Linked DNA regions of Yarrowia lipolytica. Each later gene encodes a partner of the first gene's protein in a complex. Links are inferred from orthologs where the notes say so. Each region holds a gene or a part of one and is shown in the gene's direction. Other genes may lie near its edges. The genes, in order: YALI1_E31529g, YALI1_B06487g and YALI1_A02561g.

Region 1 (7,763 bases):
TGTTGGTGGTGGATTAGCGATTAGCGGGTTTGAGCAACAAAGCTGGTAGCTGCGTTTTTGTAGCCGTGATTAATGTGTTTGTGTGTGCTTGTGAAGAGGTGGATGCAGTGACTTGTCGAAAAGGTCGTTACGTCGAGTCGTTACGTCGAGAGTGTCGTGCCGAGGTCGGTGAGGGCGCCAGATGGGAAGGTACAAATAGACGGCTGCTGCCAACGGGGACCGAGTGCTCGCTCAGACTGAGAGGTGTGTCGTCGAGGTGACAGACTGGGGGGTGGTGGGGGCTAGGGGAAAAAAGGGAGCAGCCTTGGAGAGGGAAGGGGATGGCAGTAGAGCGATTGGGAGTGAGTGTGAAAGTGTAAAATTGGGAGGGAGAAAAAGAGAAAAAGCCAAAGCGGAGGGCCAAGCACAAGTTAAAAACCCAATTTCGGCCGACTCAACAGTGGTGGGAAAATGTCTCGTGTGGGGTGCAACAGGTTCGACGACAAGACGGATCGTGATGTGTAGGAAGGAGAGAGGAAAAGAATGGTGTTTTGGGGGAAAGTCAAGTCACACCGTCGGCTAGTGTTGATTCCACTGTATTATTCGTACTATTACGGCCGCACACAGACCTATCTAACACCATCTTTTGCCTGCCACTAGCGTAAACAAACAAGCCGCAATAAGGACACCTTTACACAATGATCATACATGGTCAGGCAACCTGGGCCACACATATGAGCATACACGAAACAACCCCAAACCGCTCCCCAAGAGGTAATTAATGTGTGACTAGATCGGAAGAGCGGTTCAGCACCCCCCCCCCCCCCCCCCTCGTACAAGTGTAACTAACATACGATGTCCTGTTATTTGCTCATTGGTTGCCAGGCAGCCTCATAATAAATGTGTCTCTCTTCAGTTGCTGTGTGGAGAGGCACAGTAATTAGATCTACCGAGGTTTGAAGTACTTGTACTTACGAGTTCTCCCATAACGATGGCGTATCAACAGTACATGCTTGGTACCAGGCACTCGTTCTATCCATATCCGTCACCAACATCCACCTGTGTATTGTATATCCTCCCCTCCAGCCCATAATTGTCATCCCACCCACATCACTCCTCCTGACTGATTCACGCACAGTATGCAACGGCAAGTGTACACAAACTGTAAAGGTCGGTTGCGCGGCTGGAAAAGGGGTCGCACGTGACTTGATGAGGTGTGTATGAGTGTGTGTCTGTTTGTCTGTCTGGTTGTCACGTCGTTCGTGTTTTTCGGTCTCTTTTGCATCCCTTTTTTTCCCCCTCTTTTTTCCTTCAACTACTTGTATTTCTGCTTCAAAAAATACCCTCTCTTACCCCACTGTTTGCACTGTACTGAGGTCATGTACAGTCGACGTGTGCTGTACAGGGCTAGGCCTGACATGCGGGCTACCGATAAGTGTATTACTGGTAGTCTTGTAACAGGTATACTGTGAGCTACGGAACCGAGCTATTCTATTGTATCTGTTCTGGTGTTACATAAATCTGATATTTGTCAGACTCCGCAATATTCACAGTATTTGTGCTCTTTCTTGGCCTTCTACTGCCATACATGCTTGTCTGTCACTCTGATGTTCTTGTCTTCTCGTGGCTGAACTCTAAGGTGCAGGGTGACAGATACGTACAACAAGTACAAGTACGCAACAGCACAATACTATTACCGTAAGTATTGCGAAACTCATACGTACAGACCGATAGGAGTGTATTCTGTACTTTTATCTGTACTTGGATTCCAGCACGGAATCCTGCTATCAACTAATAGACTTCTCTGATTGGACACGATCCATAGGAGGCTGTGGCTATGCACTACTATGCTCCTGGCTTGAATTAGCCATGCTTCCCAAACGTGACTCAATCAAGCTCTGGACGCCAAACTTGGGCGAGAAAAAAAAGCCGATCCAGGAGCATGCCGGGGGCTGTCGGGAAAGCAAATAGGGTGCAATACGACGAACTGGTAAGGAGCACTTGGAGAGGCAGATTCTGGAGTACTGAATCGTTACGTCGGAAAAGCAGTTGTCGTTTGTTTCTAATTACAAGTACCGGTACACACGCGTTGACAAGTGATAGGCACCTCGACTACAAGCAGTGTAGCTCGCATCCACCCTGATATGTAACGTTGATACGCGAATCAGTGGAGCCCAACAGAGTTGACTTGTGCCCTGTACTCGTACATCCTGTAACGTTGCACTAGAATTTCAGGCGCTGAATCGGTACATACATACGCGACTCTTCTAGATTTATTTTTTGACGAGATATTTTTAGATCACCGTTTTGTTCCTCTCATTTCTGGTTTCAGCTTTTTTATTCATATCAGCCAGTATTTTATTATAAGACTGGTCGCTCCACCCCTGCCTGACTTGACGCCGTCTTGCCGCCGAAGAATGTGTCACTGAAACAGGAGAAGTGATGGGTGTCAGATAGGAGGGGAATACAAGAGTGAGTGGGAAGATCGTGGTGTGGCCATGCACTGGTTCAGTGGGTGATTGTCTGGTATATATGCGAGGACTCAAGAGTGAATATATAGAGAGCTATTGCAGCCAGGCAGTCGGTCTAGAAGTTGTTCAGAAGCCAACCACCTCGAAGTATAGAAAGGAGGTGCAGGGACGCTTTGATCAACTGCTCCAGCTCAGAAGAGAAAATTGGTTTGATTTGAAGAAATATTCCTGTTGGAGATATAAGATCTAATGCTGAGTCCACTCTACACCTTTACGTCAAAGTTATCGCAACTATCCAGTCTTCCTATCTCTGATTCCTCTCCTGATTCCTCTCCTGATTCCTCTCCTACAAGTCCTCATATAATAAAGAATCTGAGCTTATGTTTCCAGAATGCTTCAAGAAAGACATACTCAGAGTATCGAACATAAAAGTCTCTTCTTTCCACTCGTACTGAACTCCACAGCTTTGAATATGACATGTCTGCCCCACACACACACACCTCGAGCCCTGTACTTGTATTAAACCACCAACCCGAACGGCAAGACATGCTACGAAGGTGGAGAGTTTTTAGCTGGGATTCATTCAACTGTACATCATCTTCAAGTTTATGACTCGTTGTGTACAACCTTCTGACTTTCGAGGCTTAGAGACTTTGTCCATCATGAGTCTACACCAAGGTAGAACATAGCACAGGTACCAACTTGTAACAATTCTTCTTCCCTACTCTTATTTAGAGCTTAGTGAAGTTCTCTCAGGGCTATAGATCCTATCTTCGCTTATAGAAAAACCAGCTTCCCAAACGCGTTCCACTCTAGCACACCACAGACGTCCTTCAGAGACCACATTCTTCGTTATGGTTGATTTCTAACCAACACAGTTACTGTGCTTCCAATACTGAGTCCATTAAGTGCTTTATTTCAAGCTCGCGCAACACACCCATGCCCTCCAAATTTCTCACCAGCATTCTCATTCACAATACTCAACTAAACTCCCAAGCATCTTTTAGCTCTATACTTACCAGTGCCTTCTTTCATCTAAACCGCACACACAGCAAGTCCTATCTCTGGGATCACCAATCAACATCGAAGTAAGTCAATGAGATTATCAGCCTATATCTTCGCTGCAAATCAGTCCCTCCATTTCCCCTACCTCCATGACCTTCAAACATTTGATGCTGCACCTCCCATGCACCCAAAACTTAGTATGCAATATTTTGAACATAAGCCTCTCTACCTTCCACTATCCTCAAGTACAACCCGAAATGATCGATCTGAACATCCCGTGGCCTGTATCTGGCCCCAATGCCGCGTCGCCGTCCGATAGAGCCAAAATATCCTCCGCCAAGGCATCCATTTTGTTTCTACAGGAGCTGGGGTACAAGGCCGTGGCTCTCAACTGCATCTACCAGGGAAAGATTCCCGCTACTCTCAAATGTCCCGTCCCCGACGAAATCCACAAAGAGTTCCCGGATATACGCATCTACACGCGAGTGACCATTGTTGCCGAGGACCTCAACCACAGCTTCAACCTTCCCAACCTATACCAGCAGTTTGATATTGTGGCCATCAGACCCATGTCGGAAAAAATGCTCCAGGCCGCCTGTACCAATCTGGATGTCGACATTGTGTCGATGGACATGACTCGCCGTCTGCCATGCATTCCGAAACACAAGACCATCGGAGCTGCTACTGAAAGAGGCGTCAAAATCGAGGTTGTTTATGCACCGGGTTTGTCCAGTGATCCCCTGGCCAGAAAAACATCGATTGCAAACAACTCGTTGGTAGTGAGAGCAGCCCGGTGTCGAGGACTTGTCATTTCAAGCGAATCTCTGTCCAGCCTGAGTCTCAGGGGCCCTTTTGATATCATGAACTTGAGCTACATCTGGGGTCTGAACTCGGCTAGAGCTAGAGAAGCTGTGAGCAAGAACCCAGAGGCGGTCATTCGAAACGGACTGCTCAGAAAGAAGAGTTATAAGCAGGTGGTGATTGCAGAGCCGGAGGAGGTGAGAGAGCCGTTGAGGAAGAAACAGAAGGTCTAAAGCATGCACTCATGAGTGTAGTAGGCTGTTTTGCCGCTGCTAAAATGAACACATCTCTTGTAGCTGGCGTCACATGCAGACAGCATCATCTAGCTACAGGTATTGGGTATTCATATTTGATCCTGAAACTGGGCGAAGACTAATGAAAAAAGGAACATTCCCACACCAAACTGCCAGGAAAGACAGATAATGCATCACAGAAGGGGAAGAACATTAACGACATAGAATTATGATTCATTTATATTATATACTGTACATACTACAAGTAGGTGAAGTAATAGGACTACAGTCTGGTAGGACACATTGAGGTATGTTACAACTACAACTTCTGAATATCGCAGGATGTCCGTCACAGTTTACTCCAGATGTAGACGCATTCTTATACGACCGTCACTTACAACATCTTTAATATACATACCAATGCCCTTGGGGGACTGCACCGGATCAGATTTTCTCATATTTTCATTATTTTGGGTATGAACCTCCTGCAAGTTTTTGTGAGATGTCACATACCCCTTCTATAGTTGAACGTCTATTTTTGTCTAGTTGGTCTTGTTGTCCACGGGTCGCAGAGACAGACATCGGATGCCAAGGTAGGAACAGATGACATTGATGGTGTTAACAGCCCAGGTCAAAAAGTTCGCGGCAGCGTAGACAAAGAAGCCCCACAGATACAGAGTCTCGAAGTGGGGATTGTCCTGGGGCAGTAGACCCAGGGCAGGGAGCAGGTAGAACAGAACGGTGGCTCCCAGAAGAGGAATCAGGGTGGAGTTCCACAGAGGGAACTCGAGCTTGGTGAGGTGGTTGAGAATCACACCGGTGGTCAGCCGGCCAAAGACCCACGAGGCGGTCAGTCCAAATAGCACAAGGTGGTTGTCAACCAGCACAGTGGAATAAGGACTCTGCAGCCACACGTAGGCAGCTCCTCCGGCCACGCCAAAGGGCAGGAGGCCCACCAGAGCCTCGGAGAAAGGCACATCGTCCTCCTTGCAGGCCCAATAGACGTTCCACACGCAGAAAGGCACGTGCAGCACCACGAGGGTGAACATGACGACCCAGACCCAGAACTCGTTGAGCTTGAGGTACTCGGGAACCATGAAGGAGAGGAAGGGGAGCACCTCAACGGCATCCTCCTTCCAGATGTCGGTGCCCATGAAGCCGGAGATTAGCATGGTAGACAGGGCCACCACTAGCCCTTCGGTGGGGCCGTTAACAACTCCCAGGTAAAGAGTGTGGGTGTAGTAAGTCTCCCAGGTAGAAAAGTACATACCAATACAGGTGGACAGAACCATGAGGCCTCCGTAGGAGGTGGAACCAAGGGCCACAGCACCGCAGTTGACAATTCCGCCGTAGGTGCAGTTGAGGGAGTCGATTCCGTGGTCAAACAGCTCTCCCAGAGGAGAGGAAGAGCCAGTTCGACGGGCCTGCTTGCCGTCAATATTGTCCATGGTCTGGTAGAAGAAGAGCGAAAAGGCAGAGAAGAAGTAGATCCAGGAGGGACCGTCGCCGGTGAGCTCGGGGGTGTACCAGACGGTGAAGAAGATTGACAGGAGCATGCCGGAGACACCGATGAGAGTGATGGCGTTGGGAGCCAGCCAATCAGGCATGAAGGTTGCTGCGTAAGTCCACCATGGGTTCAGGATGTACTTAGACAGGTAGGATTTATCGACGCTCTGAGTTAGGGGGTTATAAGAAGATAGACGTGTCGATATCGCGGCGACAGTGTATATGTAGCACAGTGGTTGCGTTGTTCGGTTTCAGGCACTGAACGTGTCATTTTGTGATGACAGTTAAATCAAGTATGACACGGAGTGTGTGAATTGGTCAAGACGACACATCGAATGCCATACTGGTCATGAGGTCGCGTGAGAGACTGATGGGTTCATCTCTTACACGTCGATTGTGTCCCTGTTGCAGACCCTGCTGCTGCTCCGCCCCTGCTTCTGTCCTTGCTTCCATGGCTGTTGTCACATTGCTGTCACCGTGTGACCGCCAAACTGGTGATACTCACTCTGTACTGGTACGACTTTAGATGCACTAGACTGTCGGGGTTGATGTGGTGGAATCCTGGCATTAGTAGTGTGGAGGGGATTAGGGTCGGGAGAAAAGTTGGTTGATGGCCCATGGCACGGCTGAGCTGATGAGCATAGCATGTGTTTGTACCCAGCCCAACCCAACCGCAAGTCCCAATCATAGAGGGGCTTTTACCCATGCCTTTAGCACGAGCTACCCACAAGTGCCGTGAGCTAGTGGCCGTTACACAGAGAGCATGGAACGAGACACGGAATGCAAACACCCTGCTGTCTGGCAACCTGCCTGTCTGTGAAGCAACACACGCCTGCGCAACAACGCCAACGGCCAATTTCACTTGACCAACTCAAGTTCACAACGTCACTCACTCGAAAAATTTCGCTGCTGGGGCATCTGCGACTCGGGATCTTGACTGAGCATGTTGAAAGAAACCAAAGACGGTGCTTCAAACTCTCCACAAAAGTATCTTGAACTCTGCTGGCTACGTACCAAGGGGGAGGGAAGAGTCAGACAAGGTTGATACAGCAGAGTTGGGACAACAAACACCTTCAAACAAAGTTATCACGTGGTGTGTTAAGGTGTACCTGTGATATTTTTGCTTTCGGTGGGAGCATATACCTGTTCCGTATTTCATTGCTGACTATTCGTTCTGCCTGCTAAAACCACGTAATGCACTTCCATACTAAGACGTACAGTAGGTTACCATTATTAACACTGGTACGTGTCACCGTTGGGAATGTTAGGAAGCTTAATGAGATGATGCCTCTGTTTAGGTTCTGTTGGGTAAATACTGGACCTTGGAATAACAGCTATTCGGTGTGACGAGTTGAGAAAATTATGAAATTTGTTGTATCCTCGTGTCTTGAGCATCATATTTATATCAACATGTCTATACAAAAAGATGTTTTTTATGTCCTTTAAATGCCCGTCCTGATTTAATGCTTTTTAGCGACGTCATACAGTAATATGTAATCATAATACCACGCCTACTTCATGCAGTGAACGTGATTAGCTAGCTACAAGTACAGTAGTCGAAGGTCCGGCATTTGTGGGGTAACTTGATGATGGTGGAGTCGAGTGTTTCACGTGATTGATGAGGGGACGTGGCTGCTTGTAGTAGTGAAAGGAAAATGTCATCAGTTTTGATGTGATTACTAATGTCATTTTTGCTACTGGCTGTGGTAGAAGAACTGATTGGTAAGAGTACAGTATGATATTACATAATTGTACAAGTACTGTACTC
Region 2 (7,507 bases), on another chromosome or scaffold:
AGATCCTCGCTACTGCACTTGCAGAGTTTCTGAGTACGATAATGACTAGACCATGCGGTATGAACAAGGCTATTGGCAGCTGAAAGTCAGAGCACGGTATTGGTAGATTCATCGGCTGCAGCCATTTGGTTAGGCCGGATCTTTCTTCTGTCCTCTCGAGCCGAAGCCGTCGAATCACGCACCAACAGTGCTTGCTCTCACTCTCTCTTGTCCACCACCTTTTGCTGTGTCCATTAGTCTCACTCTCCAGACTCTTGGTGTCACGTTTGCAGCTGCCGAAACCCTATCTAGCCAGTCCAACCACAATCTCTTTATATTCCTTCTTCCCACAGTTGATTCGGCACTCGACCTGATCGACACTGCACCTCTGAGAGGCAACTGGAGAGAGAGAGAGACTGTAGAGTTGCCGAGGCCCATGGTGGTGGTCCTGCACGTGTAGACTTTTGTCAAGGGACGTAGAATGGGAAGAAAACGTGCAAAACGGAAACGGCAAGAGAAAATCAAATCTACGCACTCTCTAAACCACCTTTATCAACTTTGAACTCCCCAAAACCTCCTCCAAACTCCCCCAAACCCCCCCTAGAATCGTCCCCGACCCTTCGACCCCCACACTCTAATTTCGCTAAGCTCCAACCTACTCTCTCGCTTACCTCTCTGGCAGTCTAAATCTGTTCAGACAGTGTATATTTTCGGGCGAAACTGGCGCAGCTGTCCACAGCCCCTTTACAGAGCCCTACAGTGGCAAATACTCAACTGTACCGAAAACTCCCGACGTCTGAAACCCACATATACAGTTTCATACAGGCATGCATGCGACAAGGCAGACCCAGAGCCGATAGACCGACAGAGCTCGTCTGCAGACGTCGAGTACGAGTACCTGTCTTCACATGGGGTATCCTACAGAACCGTTGGCACATGTTAGGGGCGGAAAGCGGAAAACGGAAAGCGGAAAGCGGAAAGCCGGAAAGGGCGGAAGGACAGGTTTCGTGTGTTGATACTACATGTGGATACGATTGTCTGTTACTGGCTCCCGATGCAGTACAGTTGTTAGGTCGCTCTTGCCGTCTATAATAAAATGCTATTATATAGCAGTGTTTATGAAAGGGATGCATTATTCGTGAATATGAGCCGAAAAACTGGGTTCGGAGATACCGGAGTTAGGGGTTCGGCGATTAGGATTTCAATGTGAGAGTGGAGCAAGTGGGCTCCACGTGATGTTTGCAAGCGAAGGGTTGCTCGGTAGTCGGGAATTATCAGTACTATCGGAATGGGAACTGAATAACCAAACTCCGCTTGTTCTAAGCATCATTTGAGTCCTGTTGTAGTGGTATCAGGAGAACTAATTCTGAATGTACGACCGGATCAGTTGAAGTACAATATCAATATCACGAGTAACAGGTTTCTGGAGACGTCCAAAAACAATTCACTCACTCAACGTATGTCCAGCGACAGAAAATAGTGCTGCAAGTGATCAATGAAGGATACACAACTCCACTGTCCAGTCGAGGGATTCCGTAGAAGTTCACACTCTTGGAGAAGTGAGGGGGGCCAAAAGATTAGGCCACTCGAGTGGAGGGGAACAATGTCTCTCCAACCCGAAAGAAATGGTTTGGAAAGATTCGCAGTCAACGGTGTCGTTGGAGTTGACTGGAAGGAATCAGTGCAGTATTCTTAGGGTGTCGTAATCTAGAGAATGTGGCATGCTCGAAGTAGCCGTATTCTCGAGGGAGTTTGATCATTATGGGAACAGTGCTTGATGTTATACAGCAGTTCTTGTCGTCTATAGTGATGGATCCAGGACATCTCCCTGATTGGCAGGCTCGACGTTGAAAAAGAGTTGAAAATGGAGTAGAGAGTAGAGAGTGGAGAGGGTTCTATCGACTTTATGAGCCGTTATTATGACCCTTTTAACAGAGACCAGAATAACCAGCCAGACATGGTGGAATTAACTGGCATACTTGTTGCCATTGGCTCTTGCTATTGCTTCTTGCGATTGCTCTGTCAGGATCCAGTTTGTGAGATCCGTCTCAGATACTGCAGAAACTGAACTGAACCATAGAAGTCATGTTCGTCGTGTAGAGAAGAGAAAGACAGACGAATTTCTTACGTGAGACTTCTAGTCTTTTAAAAGACTCCATTTGAATATCATATCTCCTTGGCTTAGTAGAGAGAGATTCCAGCTGACAAATCCAAACTAACCCACATTCTAGACAAACTTGACAAGGAGTATCGTCACCCGTTGCCCACCTGAGAGTGCCCCATGGTCCCAATTAGGAGCTCGACGCGACGGATGCTCCTGAGTGGGAGTTGTAGACGACATGACATGATCATTGACCTTCGTGGAGACCTGGTGACCGGCGTAATGGCCTCGTTGGAGACCTAACCACGACCACTGGTAGGGGATGGGGTCTGTGAATAGATACAGTAAGAAGGAACTTTAGGGATGTGGGAAGCACAATCTTTCCAAGAGACAATTAATGTCTGAAATCAAATTATTCTCCACTCATATCTATGTCTATGCTCCAACTGTGTATGCTCCATCACTGTGTCTGCTCCATCGCCGTCTATGCAAGTCCCCCCAAGTAAACCATGCATCCCTTCAACCTCCCGTTGATGTAGTTGTAAGTCAATGTGACTCCCTCGTTACTCTTTCCCAGATCCTCCTCCTTGACATCATCCCCCGCTCGAGTCTGCTTCAGGGCTACCTCCAGCCCCAGCTTTTCTCGACATACCGTTTTGGCCCATTGTTGTTGCACAGGCCAGAGTGAAGCAAAGGGGTTCTTGCCGGTATTGACATCCACCAGCGCGGTAATGGCTCCACAGACGTGTTGGAGTTGTTCCAAGTCACTGTTCTTTGGCAGGAAGTAACACACATTGTCTGTGACCTTGAAGAACGCGTCATGGATTGTTCGCAACTCCAGAGGCTCCATGACGAACAGATCAAATTTCCCTCCATGTGATTTGTAGCTAGGCCCTCCCCAAGGCGGGCTTCCAAAAATGATATCCGTGATGGACTGGAACTCGGGACGAGCCAGAACCTCCAGGCAGTCTCCTACCACAAACTGAATCTTCTCCGAAACACCATAGACCCAAGCGTTCTGTTTTGCACACGTGATACTTTCGGGCTCAATGTCGATGCAAATAACGTGGTCATAGTAATGGGCCAGCTGAATGGCGTTTCCGCCAGCGCCTCCAAATGCATCCACCACCACGAGATTGGGATCAGGAAACCGGCTCCACAAATGCTGGGCTACCTGCTCGGCCACCAGTTCGGGGGTCGTACTGAACCATTGGGCGTTGTTGAGGAGCACTCCTTCGTCGAACTTGGAGAACAAAAAATGTCGCTGGTTGTAGTAGTTGGATAGTGACTTGGGAAGCGTAGAGTAGTCGGGCCAGTAGGGTGTATGACGGGTGTAACCGGCAGTTGCAGAACGGGGATGCTCTTTGATGTACTCAGGTTCGGCAGCTTCAGAACCAGAACCAGAACCAGATTCAATCTCTTCAGGAAGAGCTGGGGGAAGAGTCGTATGATAGATGGTGGAATCTTCTGTTTCTGTTGCAGCTTCAGTCTTAGACTCGCTGTCAGAAGATGAATCAGATGAAGAGGAAGAGGAAGAGGAAGAGTCAGCTTCAGAGCCAGAGTCAGCTCCGGAGCCAGAATCAGAGTGAGCTTCACAGCCAGAATCAGCTCCAGCGCCCGAGTCACTACCTCCACTACTACCCCCCACCTCAACACCACCCCGCGGAGGAGCATGCATGGAGTCCTCCTCAGGGCCATCTGAGTCTGAAGACTCAGTCTTGTCGGCGCCTGCGGTTGGAGCAAATTCTGTGTTAGTCTTGATTGAACTGACTCTGACATGAGAAACAAACCCACAGTTAAGTCCGAAGCAAAGCTCAATCGATAAACCACATGGCAACCGTCATCTCATGGCAAGGCACAAGCCAGACGTCTAATGGACTATACACACGGGACATCATCCTGCGGTCTTACTGCATAATGTCACCTCGAATTGGATACTCACTCGGACGGATACAGGTATCAAGGCGCGAGGAATATCAACTTACAACGAGAAAGATCCAACTGCAAACAAAACAGAGGAAACCCCTACTCATTCATAACGCCATCATGCGACGCGATCCACTTCAATGTCGCAGTGCAGACATTGCAAACCAGCTCTCAGCAAGACTAACCCGCGACAATAGTGCTAGCTGGCATGTGACGTGACCACCTCAATCCCCCTAAACTCCACCCCATACTCACCAATCTTCTGTCGTTTGAATCGATGAGACTCCACCTTCACCTCCTCTGTTCTGGCGCTGTTTAGAAATGCCGCCACGCCGGAGATGCCAACAGTTCTCTTCTTTTTCGCCATAGAGTCGTATGTGGGCAAGCTCAACCGGTCTGGCTTCTTTTGTGTCCTGGTTTCGACGTTGGTTCCGAGGTTGGTTTTTTTCCGTCTGGGATCTAGATTATGCAGCCTTATACTTTTTGGAGTTAAGATTTGGCATTTTTTTATTTTTATTTTTGAAATTTCAACATTCGGTTTTTCGCACTGCTTTTCTGCAACACAATGGTACGACTCAAGTCGCGATATCTGCTTTTCCAAATAGTCTACCCCACAGACACTCTGTCGACGTCGGAGGATGCCAAAACGCGGTTCCTCAAGATCCACAGAACGTCCGACGCCTCTGTGGTCAACGCCCGCAACCTGACGCAGATATTCAAGGACGAAATGGAGGAGTTGCACGGCGATTTGGGCGCGGGCTCGATCATGACAACGCTCAATGTCAAGTACTTTTCACCGGTAACGTCGACGGGCATAGTGCGGGTTGGGCGGCAGTTCTTGCGTGAGTTCTGGGCTGCGCTCACCAACATCACCGACATTGATAACACGCCCGTGGTGATCAACGTGGTGCACGTGAGTGCCACCATCAAAAAGTGCGAGATAGCGGCGATTGAACGCAATCAACAGATTGTGCGGTATCTGCAAAGGGGTGGCCTGGCCGTGAAGGAGGAGAAAGTGGACATGTCGGATGAGGAGTAACGAACACAGCGTTTCGGGTGAACCAGTTTGCGCCAGAAGCCGACTAGAGGTTTGGTGAGGGAGTGGGTTCGTGGAGTAGCCTGTATGGATGGACGATCTGCACCAACGGACCAGTTCACGCAGCATTACTGGTACCAGCACTTTGGCTGTTGGTGAAGAGTGAGTTTGTCGATTGGACTTTTAGTCAAAGGATATCGATGTGCTTCTTCTGAGATCGGGCATTGGAAGCATGTTTCATCAGGATATGATGGACCGTAGGCTGCATAGACTAAAGGATTTATTTATTCTTCACGAGCATTGTATATGAGGTGAACCAAGTCTCGCATACCATTCTAACCACAGTTGCAGTACGACCTCCCGAATGTCGGTTTACAGATGATCCTCTATCTTCAGTCATGACCATGACTGGAGCAAAGAAGAACTCTGTACTCAGTCTGGGCTCTTCCTTCAATCTGGAGTCCAGTTAGTTCGAGAAGACCAGCTGAGGCTCTCTCTCCCCAAGGCTAGCGTTGGGGAACTTTTGCCGCCTACAGTAGTTGTATTCTTCTCGAGCGAAAGTGAGAAATAGACCCCAGATACGTCACCGACTCTCAATACTAGATTCAGCGACGGAACACACGTTGTAGAAACCGGGTGAAGGGTAAAGAGCCAGGAGAGGACTTGTCTCTAGAGTCTGGGGAAGTTGTCTCTAGAGTCTGGTTGTCTTTAGATATCTGCAAGTTGGAAGCTGCCCCAGAGATGAGGAGAGCCCTTGACCGTATCACTTCATGGATTTGCGCCTTGCTGTGTCAGTACCGTATGGTATCCGTTGCTCAACCAGCTGAGCAGTAACACAATGAGAAGGAGGGTATTGTACGATCTGAAAAAAGGTATCTGAAAGAGTATCTGAAAGAGTATCTGAAAGAGTATCTGAAAGAGTATCTGAAAGAAGTATCCGGAAAAAGTTCAGGTTCCGGTCATATCTGTAATATACAAGTATCTGTCTGTCTCAACTGCACTGGTGACCAAGTACCACCACCAGGCTTACCGTAGGGGTTCGACACTTGTGCGAGGTCCAAGAGCTGAAAAAACAAGACAATTGCAATGGTCAATTGGCTATCTGGATAATCTGGATAATTGTGAGCTGTCTTTGACTGTTTACAGAGCATCACATCCTGGTGTCCTGGTACGCGAAGGCATGTACAAATATGCGCTGCACCATACGGTAAATGTGTTCTTGAATCTATAGTAAAAAAAAAAACCGCCAGTTGAACCAACAATGGTAAAAGGCTTATGAAAGCCTGGCGTTCATGAGAAACTCCCTTCTCCATAAAAAAGAGGTCCCACCGAGATTCGAACTCGGGACCTTAAGATTTGCAATCTCACGCGCTACCGCTGTGCCATAGGACCAGAAATATGTTCAAAAAAGGTGTCGAAGCATTTTATTCGAGAAGAATGCGAAAAAAAGTGCGCACATCGCAGATTCAGAAGTATATGATTTATTGAACGCCAATAACCCGGCTTACTAGGTATATAGCTGTAAAGAATCATTAGAAAAATACAACTGCTCAACCTCTCAAATAGATATACAAAACCGAGACTTGCTTGAGCTCATCTGCCCTTCCTAAACCTATACTACTGTACTGCAGTTGATCTCTGGCCTGTTTTGTTGATGCTGCTGGATTGGGCCAGAACAGACCTCAGAACGAAAGGAGAGTTCCTGATACCAATGGTTCACAGTAAAATAGCTGATAGTGGCACTCCCTGGGCGACACTTCTCCGGTAAAGGCTCCCTCGTCGGCCAAGAATCAGTTTGACCGACATCAGCATAGTGTGTGATACTATGCCGATTTGATAAGTTTTCGAGTCAGACAGAGCTGAGGATAAGACCCATGTATCAACTTCAACCACACTTGATTTGGACCACCCGTCGTTATAGGGCCCGTGTAGCTTCACTCTCGGGGGTCTGATACAGAACCAGAAACTCGCTGTTGCAGCACCACCTGTAAAAAGATACAGTGAAGCTGTCGAGGAGCTCAAATGCTCGTGTAGCCCTTTCATGTCGGCTTCTATTTGATGTCCATCTCACAAGATCCAGTAAGAGTTCCATCTATGTAGCCAGCATGAGAATATGCTAAACGAAGAGATGTTGTTCCTGTTCTACCTGGCAGCGACCACTGGCTTCTGAGCAGAAAGCCAGAAAGTTGTCTCGGGATTTGGATTGCAATCATGGCCGGAGAGTTCCTGGCATTGATGGTGGACTTTTAGACATAGTTACGACCTGCATACATGGCCATGAAACGGGGTATACCCTTCTAGCAAGACACTTGACGTCTAGAGCAGATTTGGCACTGTAATGTCAGCATTTATCCAGTGTTAAATCCTGAAGCAGATTTGGGGAGCGTTGACGTTTTAATGATTCTCCCCGGCTCTCTCCGGCAGAGATGGAGTAAAGCGACCTGCTGGAACAGGCCGTCCTCGAG
Region 3 (7,462 bases), on another chromosome or scaffold:
GTTTCGCCTCTCAAGCCTCCCGGAACCTCGACCAACGTTCGTTCCATGCGAGAAAACGCTGCTCTCATTGATAACGAGAAGGACTTCTTTGACTCGGTGATGGCAGTGCCTCGAAAACAACGGCTTAACAGAGATGTGGTTCAGTACAAGTCGCGTGCAGGCCCCAAGTCGTCGTTCAACTACTCCAGCAGCAACAACAACACCACCTCGGTGTCCAGGCCGGTCAAGGGCCCGACCCCATTTGCCAGCTCCTCAAACCCCTCCCCATTCTCATCTTCCACTCCCTCTTCGGCAGGTGTGGGACAGCGAAACGTGTCTTCGGGAACCACCAATTCCGTGTTGCAGCCCCCAGGCGCGTCTTCTATGACCAGCCTTGCACCTAGTGGAGCTGCTGGCACGATCGGAGGCATCGCTGCCTCTCGAGTGGCCTCCACTTCTTCTACCACAGCTCCTCCTCCCATTCAGCCCACAATCTCTATGGACCAGCAGTCGGTGACCTCCTCGGTGGTGCCTACGCAGTTCCCCCCTGGTGTGACGGACTCCATGCCTGTCTACGGCACTCCCATCGAGGATCTTCTCGACTATGAGGGTGGAACCGTACCGAGAGCAGTGTACCAGTGCGTGCAGGCCATTGACAATTTCGGTCTGGAAGTGGAGGGTATCTACCGAGCCAATGGAAACAACTCGCAGATCCAAGAAATCAAGCATCTGTTTGACACAGACCCGTCCAAGGTGGACTTGCTGCATCCTTCAGACAACCTCAACGACATTCATTCGGTGGCTTCTGCCCTAAAGCTTTACTTCCGAGAGCTGCCCGACTGTCTACTAACCAAGGAGTTGCATCAGGAGTTCATTGATGGCGCCATGATTGAAAACGCGATACAACGACGAGACGCGCTCCATGGAACCGTCAACAAGCTTCCCGACGCTAACTACACAACTTTGCGGTACCTGATTTTCCACCTGTACCGAATCCAGGAGCGCGAGGCAATCAACCGAATGTCGGTGGTAAACCTGGGCATTGTCTGGGGTCCTACGTTGATGAACACGGACTACGGCAATGTGGCCGAGATGGGCTTCCAGGGCCGAGTCATTGAGACTATTCTGGTGAACGCCTATGTCATTTTTGATGCGGAGTAGTCGCGAAGGATATTCACTCTATTATATAATGAATTAGGCTGGCTACAAGCAGTGTTACCAGTTATGAAATGTTGTCCCGTAGAAATGCAGCGTAAAAGCCGTATCCAACAAGCCTCACTGATGAGTTTTGTATAGCCATCGGCTTATAAATATTACGCTACATAATCGTAAACATCTCGTCCTTGGCGGGAAATGAAGTCGTCAGTAATGAGTTTACTGATATTCTTTTTCACGTCCGCCACCTCTAGAATGCCTCGTGATTTCGTTTTATCCAACACCTCCATCACGAGTTCTGCATGTCCCACAGTCCGCCTGGCTTTCATGATTCGGATAATGACAGCCTGGATCTCCATGTTCCTATCTCTCTCCAAAGTGTCCTGAATGGCTTTATGGGGTAACATGATATCGTCTGCTCCTCTGGCGACGGAAGGCACCTTTACTCGTCGTAGTTTCGAGCTAAAATTCCAGTTGAACTTGTACCGTGTCTCATCCCCTTCTTCTTTGATGAGAATCTTCACCTTCGGCGTCATGAGGGAGTGTAGAGACATGGTCAACTCTCTCTCAGAAATACCTGTAGCAGCCAGGAGGTCCGCGAAGGTTATGTGCGGTCTTTTCTTCTCATCCACAAACTGCATCATCACTAGCGCCTGATGCAGAGACACGTCAAACTCCTTGGTGTCTTCGTTGAGATGTGCTCTGATTGTACACGAGGACAGAGCGTGTTGCCAGGTGACTTTCTTCTTTGTGTTCTTGGGATCTTGGCTGAGAAACTTGGAAAAGTTGTCTAGCTGCGAGTACATTTGCGACGGTAGCCGGATGGGTGATGTGGAAGCCGGAAATTGCGGCCATGCGTTTTGACTCAACATGTTGACATTCAGGTCGAAGTTGCCGTACTTTGTGTATATCTCAGAGTCGCGATATTGCGCCATGGTAGCGGGCGAGTTGGTTCGCACATCCTTGAGCATTGTTTCCATGGATTCTGTCAACTCAGGTCCAAACTCGTCTCGTAGAATGGTCAACAGTTCGCTTTCACTTTCCAGACCAAGTGCTCGACCCACCAGCAGACGTTTACTGAGGTATCGCTTGTAGTAGACTTCAAACACGTCCTTCTCGGGGATGCACGAGAGCAGAAATGTGAGTGTTTTAACATCAGCCGTATTCTTCAAGCTGTCTCCTCCTTTAGCTCCTTTTCGTAGTAGCGAGTCGGAGAATTTGGCCAGCTGTTCAGATAGGTTTCTCTTACCCCTCATGCTGTTTCTGAACCCTGCCACCCAGTCCGGTGCCTTGTTGATGAGATCTGCGTCTGCCAGTGCCTCAGTGACTCGACTACTTTTGTGGTACGACTGCACGACAATGTCGATATTTGTAAAAGTGGGTCCCAGGACAGTTTCGATCCATTGGCGAAAGATGTCACCGATTCTGAGCTGCTGCTCAGAGCCCTCGAACGACAACAACGACAGCTGACGAATGTAAGGGAACATGAGTTCATCTTCAAACGACTCAGTCACTCCTCTGCGAATGAACTGGACATGCGGAACGATCATCTCTTCGGGAAGGGCAGACATGATCATTTCAACCCGAGATGAGTCCTTTATCAGCTCCTGAATGCGTCTATGCTCTGTGACTTGGGTATCAACCACCAGCTGAAGATATTGAACGGGGCTCATAATCTGCCACTTTTCAGCCTGCAACTTGAAGTAGAGCCGACTCTGCACCGCCACCGTTTTGATAATGCGCTGATATTGCTCACTGGACTCTCCACAGAGCTCTCGAACCACATTCTCGCACTGCTGAAGCAGCAATGCCGAATCAGAAGCTCCACGAACCAGATTGGCGAAGATAGAAGCGAAATCTGTCTCCACCCGCTGGCTAATAACTGCGTAAATCCTGTCTCGGACGAGATCCTGACATCTCCGGAGAATGTCGCTCCCCCCATTGCCACTCTGAAGCAGGAAACTGCGGTCCAGGTAGAAATAGATGAGTTGCAGCTTGAGAATGCGGCTTCTCCACATGTCGTACTCGTCCAGAAAAGCTGCGGTGATCGATTTGAGCCCGGCCTGGCTGATGGCTTCAATGTTCTCCAAACACTTTGTCGTCAGCGGCTCGATACACTCCTTGAACAGCGACTGCCAGCATTGCGCGCCCTTGCCATGCCGACAGAATGTCTCCACCATGCGATAGAGCTCCTCCTCGGGCACGGTCACTGCGCCTCCGTCCAGAGCAATGATTTTCGTCTGCGCCAGAAGAACCTGCTGCTGCTGCTCGAAAAAGCGCTGGATGGCCTCGCCGTCGTTGGAGGACTGCCGCCGCTCGACCTTGATGTTTTTCGCCGCGATTTTGCGCGTGTAGAACTTGCCCACGTGTCGTTCAATCCCTCGTTTCATTGATGTTAAAACCAAACTCTGTCCACCAAACTTCATGCCTGATAAGAGTTAGGTGATTGGGGTAGGGGTCCATATCACGAGTGTATAGCAGAGGTGTGTATTGATAGAAAATGTTTAATGAATAGCGAAGACAGGATCAAGGGGACATTTATATTAGTAAGCAGTTGGAATATACCACTAATACCGCAATGGAACTTCTTTGCTGGTTCTCATATCGTACAGTCCCAGTACATACAGTGCTCCCAGTACGGATCTACAGTGTGTTGTAGGTGCAGTATGAACTGTAGGTACTGTACCAGGCTAATAGCTCTCCGTTTTCACCTAACTACGAGTACTGTTCGTACTGTTCGCACTATTCAATACGGTAGCTACGATATTACGATATCATCATACCACGGTGGATCCTTTCCAAGCCGAAATTGCCCTATCAAAGTTCACCTGATTTTGGCTATTATAACTCGTCCGGATCGACTCTGCTATATCTCCACTGTGGGAACGAAAATCTCTCTTAAAAGAGGGTCATAACATTGCTTTCGGCTCATACATCTCCTTGACCTGTAAAAACCGCTTGTATATGTTGAACTGATGCAACTTCGCGCCTTGCTTGGGCCCTGCTCAGCTGACTAATACAATTATCGACACCTGCATAATCTGCTGAAATTTATAATTCAATCTCTGACACAACAATGGCACCAGCGGCACAAAAGCGAACTCGGGTGGAGGGAACGATAGTGAAGCATGCGCCGATCAGACTGGTTGGAAAGGCGTCGCAGGACTGTTTCTATGTGTCCAGCAAAATGGCCTTTGTGTCTGCTCTCAAGAAGGTGACCAAGCTGCTAAAACCCAGTCGCAAGCAGCCCAGGCGCCAGTACATTCGAATGATGGGCATGGGAAAGTGCGTGGACAAGACCATCAGCCTGGGGCTGCGCTTTCAGAAAGAGGGATACAAGGTGGATATCTTCACGGGCCAAACGACTCTGTTTGATGAGATCAAGGTGGCTCACGAGACGTCAGAGAAGATGGAGGTGGATGGAGACGACGAGTCGGACAGCGATGAGGAGATTGTCAAACAACAGCGGATAATCAGTACCATTGAGGTGCGCGTATATCAAAGGGATCAGTGATGGGACCACGGATCACTAGCGTTGTGTTGTTGAATAGGGATAGCATTAATAAATATTTATACAAGAGACTTGGCCGAGTCGTAGACCACACGAATCTCGTAAACGTCTCGGGCGTGTTTCTTTTCCACTTCGGGACTCTCCAGCAACTTGCTGTCGTCCACCACCTTGATACATTCCGCGTACTTTTTCAGGAAGTAAGCCCGTTCCGCAGCATGTCGTACAGCATGTCTGTCGAGTCGGTCCATGCCGTCGATGTTGCTGTAGTCTCTTTCCAGGATTGACTGTGTTAGTGGAAGGAACCAATGTAAGTGATTTGGTGAGCTGTGGAGGTACTCACTGTCAAGGTCTGAACGGGAGGCCCCGAGGTGTACAGATCCACCTGTCTCTGGTACTCCTCCGCGCTCTGTCCCTTTCGGACTTTGCCCTTGCCCTTTTTGGGCGCCTCGTTGAGCACCTTGCGGGGCTCTGTGTCGATGGAGATTGCCGCCAGTTCGTCTGTGAGCTCCATGTGTGTGAATTAGCTGAATTTCATTTCGAAAAAAAGATCACGATAGTCTGAAACTTTGTTGACGGGAGTGCAGAATTTTTGATGTAGGAAAAGTACCGTGCAGTACTTGAAGAAGGCTCTTTTGGGAGGGTAATTGGTTAGCTTTAGTTGGAGAAGAGAAATTAAGTCAACTAAATATTTGAAAAAAATATTTGAGTAGTAGGACACCAACGGGGCTGCAAAAGGTCGACAAAGAGGCAGTGTTGGAACTGTAACTGCAGCAAAGTACCCATTATCGTTTTTACAGTCGCATATTACAGTATGGAGTATATATATACGCAAATTAGGCGATTTTGGGAGCTTTTTTGAAGACATCATTATCCAGGGTCTTGTAGTTGCTTCTTTAGACGGTGGGGGGTGGTTGGACTTGCACGTTGCTGCGATTAGACGGCGCCGAGAGGTTCAATTACATCGCATGGGGCAAGTTGGGGGGCGGTCCAGGAACGAATTGAGACTTTTTTTTTCAGATTTATGTCAGTCATTTTGGCCCTTGGACTCGCACTCGTAGCGATCTACAATGCTCTTTCAGTTGGCAGTAAGATGCATACAGGAAAATAACCTCGTAATGCAGGGCCCCAAAAATCAAGTTCAAAACATCGACAGTGCTACCTCGTCACATTCCATCGACATGTCCAATTCGAACGCTGGTGACGGCGAAAAGCCCCAGAAAGGAGCGGCGCCGACCTTCGCATTTGGTCAGAAGCCGCAATTCAACTTTGGTGCCACTACCGCCAAGTCTGACGACATGAAGGAGGACTCAAACTCGGACAATACACACACAAAAACAACAGACACAGAGGCCAAACCGGCCTTCGGGAGCGGCGGATTCTCGTTCGCCAAACCCGCGGAGCCCAAGGATGGCGACTCCGACAAGAAGGACACAAAACCAAGCCTGTTTGACACCCCGGCCAAACCCAAGGCCTCTCTGTTCGATACACCCAAGGATTCGGTCCACAAGTCTAGCACCGACAAGCCTACGTTTGGAGGGTTCAATTTGGGAGATCAGTCCGACAAGCCGGCTTTCACTGGTTTTGGTGTGAAGAAGGAGGACAAGACTGAGGACAGTAAGGACAAGCCTTCTGGATTCTCATTTGGAACCAAGAAAGACAACGACAAGGGAAATGACAAGAAGGACGATGAGAAGCCCTCTCTGTTCAGTTCGTCCAGCATCGACAAGCCTGCTACTGGAGGATTCCCCAAGCTGTCGTCTGGTGGATTTGGCTCTCCCTCTGGATTTGGCACTTCTAGCTCTGGAATTGGATCTTCCTCTGGTGTTGCTACTGGCAGCTTCAGCTTTGCAGCCGAGAAGGAGAAGGAAAAGGGAAAGGACGATTCAAAGCCCACGTTGTCCTTTGGAGCATTCGGTTCCAAGCCCGAGGACAAGAAGGACGACAAGGAGACTAAGCCGGAGAAGGCCAAGAAAGATGATAAGCCCTCTGCTTTTTCGTTTGGTGTCAAGAATGAAGACAAGACGGCTCCGTCTTTGGATGTAAAGGAGGACAAAAAGGACGATAAGCCTGCTTTCTCATTTGGTGTCAAGAAGGAGGATGTAAAGAAGGACGAGAAGCCCGCGTTGTCATTCGGTACCAAGAAGGAGGGTGAAAAGCAGGACGAGAAGCCTGCTTTCTCATTTGGTGTCAAGAATGAGGATAAGAAGGACGGGAAGCCCGCGTTGTCGTTTGGAGCCAAAACAGAGGATAAGCCTTCTGCGTTCTCCTTCGGTGCTAAGAAGGAGGATGACAAGAAGGAGGACAAGCCTCCTCTGTCTTCTGGTGGTACTAAGAATGCGGACGAAAAGATGACTGACTCCAAACCAGCGCTTTCTTTTGGTGCCAATGCCCCCACTTCATCTTCTGCTCCCACTTTTAACCTGGGTGCTAAGAAGGACGACACAAAGACTGCCACCCCTTTCTCTCTCGGTGCCCAGAAGGACGAGACGAAGCCCACGGGTCCTTCCTTTTCTCTTCCTCCGAAGAAGGAGGACGACAAGCCTGCTACAGCGTCTTTCTCCTTTGGAGCTAAGAAGGAGGACGACAAACCTGCGGCCCCATTGTTCTCTATCGGAACCCAGACCGATAACAAGTCTGGCGGTTTCACTTTTGGATCCAAGGCCGACCCCAAGCCCGTCGTAAGCTTTTCTTCCAAGCCCGAAGACAAGACCGCCACTCCGTCGTTTAATCTTAATGCCAAGCCCGACGCTGGTAAGACAGCTGCTCCCTCTTTCAATCTTGATGCTAAGACGGAGACCAAACCGTTCAGTCTTGGTT

What was found.
Region 2: YALI1_E31529g (region 1) and YALI1_B06487g share a complex: the UniProt entries of both Saccharomyces cerevisiae proteins name them as parts of the nuclear RNase P and RNase MRP complex. The link is inferred for Yarrowia lipolytica from reciprocal best matches to the Saccharomyces cerevisiae genes RPP1 and POP5.
Region 3: YALI1_E31529g (region 1) and YALI1_A02561g share a complex: the UniProt entries of both Saccharomyces cerevisiae proteins name them as parts of the nuclear RNase P and RNase MRP complex. The link is inferred for Yarrowia lipolytica from reciprocal best matches to the Saccharomyces cerevisiae genes RPP1 and POP7.

Annotation. Positions count from the first base shown.
Region 1 is NC_090774.1:3,148,730-3,156,492, reverse strand, and holds YALI1_E31529g (uncharacterized protein), read left to right. Parts: upstream 1-3,604; coding exon 3,605-4,489; downstream 4,490-7,763. Other genes in the region: YALI1_E31555g (uncharacterized protein), read left to right, coding at 880-915, 958-1,203; YALI1_E31540g (uncharacterized protein), read left to right, coding at 2,397-2,400, 2,453-2,700; YALI1_E31498g (uncharacterized protein), read right to left, coding at 5,032-6,162, 6,501-6,701. UniProt on the Saccharomyces cerevisiae protein: Component of ribonuclease P, a protein complex that generates mature tRNA molecules by cleaving their 5'-ends. Also a component of RNase MRP, which cleaves pre-rRNA sequences.
Region 2 is NC_090771.1:645,843-653,349, reverse strand, and holds YALI1_B06487g (uncharacterized protein), read left to right. Parts: upstream 1-4,571; coding exon 4,572-5,045; downstream 5,046-7,507. Other genes in the region: YALI1_B06514g (uncharacterized protein), read left to right, coding at 1,741-1,825, 1,869-2,047; YALI1_B06508g (uncharacterized protein), read right to left, coding at 2,207-2,435, 2,504-2,541; YALI1_B06489g (uncharacterized protein), read right to left, coding at 2,565-3,826, 4,262-4,373. UniProt on the Saccharomyces cerevisiae protein: Component of ribonuclease P, a protein complex that generates mature tRNA molecules by cleaving their 5'-ends. Also a component of RNase MRP, which cleaves pre-rRNA sequences.
Region 3 is NC_090770.1:252,941-260,402, reverse strand, and holds YALI1_A02561g (uncharacterized protein), read left to right. Parts: upstream 1-4,210; coding exon 4,211-4,648; downstream 4,649-7,462. Other genes in the region: YALI1_A02615g (uncharacterized protein), read left to right, coding at 1-1,140; YALI1_A02568g (uncharacterized protein), read right to left, coding at 1,293-3,560; YALI1_A02552g (uncharacterized protein), read right to left, coding at 4,705-4,929, 4,986-5,156; YALI1_A02546g (uncharacterized protein), read left to right, coding at 5,713-7,462. UniProt on the Saccharomyces cerevisiae protein: Component of ribonuclease P, a protein complex that generates mature tRNA molecules by cleaving their 5'-ends. Also a component of RNase MRP, which cleaves pre-rRNA sequences.